Yarrowia lipolytica: one gene and its partner. The protein of the gene in region 2 interacts with the protein of the main gene of each other region in a biochemical or structural test. Links are inferred from orthologs where the notes say so. Each region holds a gene or a part of one and is shown on either strand. Other genes may lie near its edges.

Region 1 (2,838 bases), on a different chromosome or scaffold from region 2:
GGGTTTTTGAGCGGTATTTCTGTCCACTATGAAGTGAAGCCGTCATATCCCCCTGGTTACATCCCCTCGTGTAGCTATAGCTGTGTACTTGATATATGTTCCTGCACATTTTTCCGACATTAACAGCAAACCATATCCTCAAATTTGTATGACAAGCAACGGATAAACCCAACCTCCATGCCCACACGTTGAGTCAACTGAGTCACGCTTACAGAGCTCCACGAAAATGAACCCATGGAGCTGACTAATGAAAAATGGCTTAACTTTGGGGCTGTCATAACCACCAAACATTGGACAGGAGGGAGAAAAAAAATACATCTATTGACTAAAACATGCGAAAACCGCTGACCCACAAGCGTCACGCATACATATGTTATATTTAATGTTTAGTCGCGTGAGGGTGGATCAGCTCATCTCGGCCCTTGGATCCTCCTTCAAGACTCCAGTTCTAAAGTCCTCCAGCATCGCGTAATGCATTAATACGAACGCCGAGTATCACTCTAAGCAGCGTACTTTTTGACCTGCTCGGCCACCCGCTTATCGTACTCCTCCTTGTTCTTCTGGAAGGCGGCAAATGCATCGTTCTGGGCGGGAGAGTGGGGGTTGGGGTTGTTCATGAGCTCCTGGATACCCATGACAATCTCAGACAGCGTGATGGAAGGTCGCCAGTCCTCCTCCTCGTTCAGAATTGACAGACAGACGGTGCCCGAGGGGTAGACGTTGGGGTGATAGAACCCAGCATCAAATCGGCATCGTGGGGGTTTGGTCGGGTAGTCTTTGGGGAAGGTGATGAGCATGGGGTATGTGGCACCGGCCCAGGCGGTTCCTTCCTTTCCGGGGATGCCGGCGTTCCAGTTAGTGAGATCCAGGTTTCCGTTCTGGTCCTTGGCGGGCTTAGCAAAGAAGCCAAACGGATGTGACTTTCGCCAGGTTTTCCTGAGTTAGTTAAAACGGGGCGTCTAGGTGAATAAAGATTGGTCTTTGTAACTCACCGCTCTTCCATGAGTCGCTTCTGCATCAACGAGTCTTCCGACATTTTTGCTGGTTGTGTCTTGTGTGTGGTGTGTGTGGAGAATGCGATGTGATGATGTCTCCTAAAGAGGTTTTGTTTGTGGCCGACTATCTCCATAGTAACGTAGCTAACTTTCAGCACTCGGTTCGAGTCCTATGTGGGTATGGAAGTGAGGTGTTTTTATTATTCACGTGGGAGAGTCCAATCATAGAATTATTTACTTCATTTGGCGTATATTCTACGGAAAACCTACGCCCAAGATATTTGTTGGTGGTTTGGCTGGATTACTGACTTTCAATATTACTAAGCGTCAAGCCTCTCCCAGAAGGATCTACACCTATCAGAGCTCATTTAATGAAGATGTGGAACAAGTACGAGTACAAAAAATTGTCCTAACTAAGAGACCTTCTTGAAGCATCTTTTTCATTCATGATCCTTTGCATTCCGAGACCCCCTTGTTCCAAAGACACAAATTTGCACACTCAAGGGCCCTCTTTCTACAGCGAGACAGCTTGACTGACACTTGCCCCACGCCCCTAACCCGTACCCCACACACACGTTTGTGCCAAAAAATAGAAGCCAGAAGAGGAGGAAGTGGAGGAAGAATTTTCCATTGAATATTCCGTGGTATTAATTACCACTACTTCATTAATTACACCTGTCTCACCTCCTTGGTCCAAATCTAACCACTCAGACGGCTGATGATCATAGACTCCCCCTGCACACCCCACCTTGTGAAAGAAACTAAGTTGACCAACACCTTGATTTCCATCGTGTTCGCTTCTTAACCACACCCCCACACAGTTCACACCCACAAAAACAATGTCACACGAAGAAGATCTTGATGACCTCGATGACTTTCTCGACGAGTTCGACGAGCAGGTGCTGAGCAAGCCTCCTGGAGCTCAGAAGGATGCTACCCCTACTACATCTACTGCTCCTACCACTGCCGAGGCTAAGCCTGATGCCACTAAGAAGAGCACCGAAACTTCCGGGACCGATTCAAAGACTGAGGGAGCCGATACTGCTGACAAGAATGCGGCCACTGACTCTGCGGAGGCCGGTGCGGAGAAGGTTTCTCTGCCCAACCTCGAGGATCAGCTCGCTGGGCTCAAGATGGACGACTTCCTTAAGGACATCGAGGCAGACCCCGAGTCCAAGGCCCAGTTTGAGTCTCTGCTCAAGGAGATCAACAACGTTACCAGCGCCACCGCATCCGAAAAGGCCCAGCAGCCCAAGTCATTCAAAGAGACCATTTCCGCCACTGCTGACCGTTTGAACCAGAGTAACCAGGAGATGGGGGACATGCCCCTTGGTGACGACATGCTCGCTGGCCTCATGGAGCAGCTGTCGGGTGCTGGAGGCTTTGGAGAGGGCGGGGAAGGCGACTTTGGAGATATGTTAGGAGGAATCATGCGTCAGCTGGCCTCCAAGGAGGTTCTGTACCAGCCGTTGAAGGAGATGCACGACAACTACCCTAAGTGGTGGGACGAGCACGGATCCAAGGTGACCGAGGAGAAGGAGCGAGACCGACTTAAGCTGCAGCAGGACATTGTTGGCAAAATCTGTGCCAAGTTTGAGGACCCCTCTTACTCTGACGACTCCGAAGCCGACCGAGCCGTCATCACCCAGCTGATGGACGAGATGCAGGAGACCGGTGCTCCTCCGGATGAGATCATGTCCAATGTTGCCGACGGTAGCATTCCTGGCGGTCTCGATGGTCTTGGACTGGGAGGTCTTGGTGGCGGTAAGATGCCCGAGATGCCCGAGAACATGCCCGAGTGCAACCAGCAGTAAGTGATAGATTATATAGGCGAGTGATGAAG
Region 2 (3,171 bases):
CACTCAGACCCAGGCTTACCGATGGTTCGAGGAACTGTCTGTCAAGGCTTTCCTGGCTTGTCGACCTCATGCTGAGACCATCATCCAGCTGGTTCTGCCCATGTTGGATTCTGGACTTCCCTGTTTCAAGGAGCATACCATTCGAAACTTGCGACGGCGATTTGTTCTGGAGAAGACTGAAGCTCAGGCCGCCACTCACTTCCGAGGACTCATCAAGAAGTCCATCGAGTCTTTCTACACCAAGGGCTACGACGAGTTCCAGCGAATCACAAACGGTATTCCTTATTAAGCGGATTTGTTTTTCAACGGATGTATGTACTACATTGTAGTCGGAGGATCTTATGTGGGTTAATATTATTATGTGAATGATTGTTATTGTGTTTGTAAGTACAGTATGTACTTGTAGATCTGAATCAATGTTTACTACGGTTGCGTTCCAAGAAGCTAGCATCAACAATATATTACATCATCCAATACAGAAAACCAAACTGTCAACTGCATTACAACCTGTAGATCGGACTTTCTCCGTTGATTCCATCAAAGACGTAAAAGTTGTCGATGGGAATCTGTGATCGGGCCAGATAATTGAGCACCTCCTGAGCAATACCTCCTCCCATGATCGATGCAGTTGTGGCAATCTCTGCGTCCTTGCTAGTGAGCACCTGTTGTGCCAGTTCCTCAGAAATGATTCCCAGAGGCAGCTGCAGCTTCGAACACTGCTCCACACCCAGCTCGTGGAACTCCTTTGCACTCAAATCGCCCCACGACTTTCCGGGGTTTGTCTGTTCGTACTCCCAGCCTGTAAACAGAAGAGGCACGTATCCGGGGATTCGAGACTTGTGCTTAGGTCGCATGTGAGCAAAGGGCTTCGGCGTCTGAACAGCCTCGAGCACCTGCTTGAACGGCTTAAAGCTCTGCTTGAGAGAAGCACTGTAGTTTCCAGTCTCTAACTCAACTGTCCCCACCAAGGTAGCCTGCTCAGGGATGCTCATGGTCGAGGGCTTGTTGGGAGTCTCAATTTTGTAAGTATACTCTCTGAAATCAATGAAGGCGTAGGAGAAGAGACCAGAGATGCCCACGCAGATGTTAGTGGTGTCTGTCTCTTCACACAGGGTTGTAATGTGCACAATCTCCTTCAGAGTGGCCTGGGTGATAACCACGAGGTCGAACTTGCCCACAAATTCCTTGTCCAGGTCCAAAATGACCTTGTCCACCGTCTCCACGGTAACGTGTCGATTCAGCTGTGAGATTCGAGGCAGGGCAGATTCTCCTCGGTTTTTGTTCTCGTCGCCCTCCTGCACGAAAAACTGTGCTCCAAAGTCGGCATCAGAGGTGACGTGCGCATCCACGATAGTCAACGAGCCGATACCTGCGAGCACCAGGTCCTTGACGATTTCGTTGGCGACTGCCCCGATGTTGATGAGTAGGATCTTGGAGTTACGCATCCGCGCCTGCGATTCCATGCCCCACAGTCGAATCTGCCGGTCATAAAGTGCCACCTCGTCGGCCGAGATCGTGTTTTCCGTCTTGCCCACGCTGGTTTCCGTCATTGCTGGTGTTGAAAGGTGCAATTGAGATCAGGAAACTCAAACGCGTTGTGATAATATGCAGGATAATGAGTGAAGGTCTGAGATGTCAGAGGTGAATCAGGGTTGTGCGGAGGAGTCGGACGAGAAGAATAATGAGAGGTTATCTGCGAAGTTATGCCTAATGATACTGTAAGACTACAATACAATATAGTGTATAGGAGTTCATGGTGCCATCTTGGGCAATGTGCTCTTTTCAACGCTTGTAGTTGATTTGGAATTCATTGTAAATTTACTGTAGTTTCAACGGCCCAGTAGAGAGCACGGATTCGATGTTCCAGTTACTTCTGGAGTTCTCATCAGTCTTGATAATAAAACGACACCAGTCTTTCCCACTGCTGCTTATAGTATAATGGTCTCAATAATTTGTCTCATCCATAACTGATAGACACGAATTGATAGTCCTGCGTGTGGTGTAACAATCTTCCTCAGTCTCAGGGTTCAATGTATGTAAACGAGAAATGGACCCCAAACCTGTAGAAACGATATTATTCCCCACAACAATCCTAGTGTCTGGTCTCGTTCAGTAGCTCTTGATCTCTCTGTTGCAGTGCTCCTGACAAACGTATCACAATGCATGATTACTAAGCATGCGATTTCTATGTGCTTGTGGAATGAGAGATACAAGTACCAGCACTTCTACAGTACAAGTACAAGTACAAGAGAATGTATTTATTTTTATACACGCTAAAATTGCTATCAATGGATGGATCAAACAGCACAGCAAATATAGGCCTTCCCTGAAGGTCACGTTAGCTACTACAAGTAATACAACAACCACACCACATACTGTATTATACTCTCTACAGTATTTGCCCAGTCCTATTAGCACACACTAAAGACGCTTACAAGTGACCAACACGTAATTTCACACCAGTGCCTGTACACACGATGGCCTATGTAGTTTATCAAGATATAGATTACTAAGCAGATGATTGCGGTGTTACGAGCAGGGTGACTGAAATACCATTACTTGTACAAGAAATCTATCCGATATCTGGCATTTCTGGAGGTCAAAAACGTGACATTCTTGCTGATATGAAAATCACCGTCGTTTCTTACACCCCACAGAAAAACAGAGGATAAGGGCAACCAACTTAATGGTACGTAAGCTTCCCTACAGCAGGTGGGATGTATACTTCAAAAACGTGAAATATGGCTCTCGAATGAGCTGAAATTTGGACATAATCTTAGAAATTCCATTTCAAGCCCTCCACGTGAATTTTACACCTCGATCACCACTCCTACGCGAATTTGAACGTTGTCAAATACTGACGACCACGAGCCAAACCTTAACTTGACGCAGACACTCTCTCACCACTTCATCTCTTCCTCACGACATTCTGATCTCTATCTGCATCAAGTCCCCTGACACCTACTAAAATGGACATTGGAAAAATTCTGGACGTGACGCCGGAGCCGATTCTCTCGACAGATGCGGTGATCAACGCTGCTTCCGACAACCGCAGCATGGATTACTGTCTGCCAGTCCAGATGGCCGAGTTCCAACGAGAACTGACGGACCAGGTGGTCAACCTGCATTATTCTGACATTCTGCGGTTCTACGACACAATCAGTCCGACAC

Evidence for each region.
Region 1: of the proteins of YALI1_E33220g (region 2) and YALI1_B29539g, one has a biochemical effect on the other in vitro, tested with the Saccharomyces cerevisiae proteins (3 studies listed by BioGRID, with this or other methods). The link is inferred for Yarrowia lipolytica from reciprocal best matches to the Saccharomyces cerevisiae genes AOS1 and UBC9.

Annotation. Positions count from the first base shown.
Region 1 is NC_090771.1:2,952,982-2,955,819, forward strand, and holds YALI1_B29539g (uncharacterized protein), read right to left. Parts: upstream 1,037-2,838; coding exon 993-1,036; intron 937-992; coding exon 501-936; downstream 1-500. Other genes in the region: YALI1_B29548g (uncharacterized protein), read left to right, coding at 1,835-2,809. UniProt on the Saccharomyces cerevisiae protein: E2 ubiquitin-like--protein ligase mediating SUMO/Smt3 attachment to septins and PCNA. Seems to be involved in degradation of S- (CLB5) and M-phase cyclins (CLB2).
Region 2 is NC_090774.1:3,320,463-3,323,633, forward strand, and holds YALI1_E33220g (uncharacterized protein), read right to left. Parts: upstream 1,551-3,171; coding exon 501-1,550; downstream 1-500. Other genes in the region: YALI1_E33150g (uncharacterized protein), read left to right, coding at 1-289; YALI1_E33234g (uncharacterized protein), read left to right, coding at 2,970-3,171. UniProt on the Saccharomyces cerevisiae protein: Could be involved in a ubiquitin-related process important for DNA damage tolerance.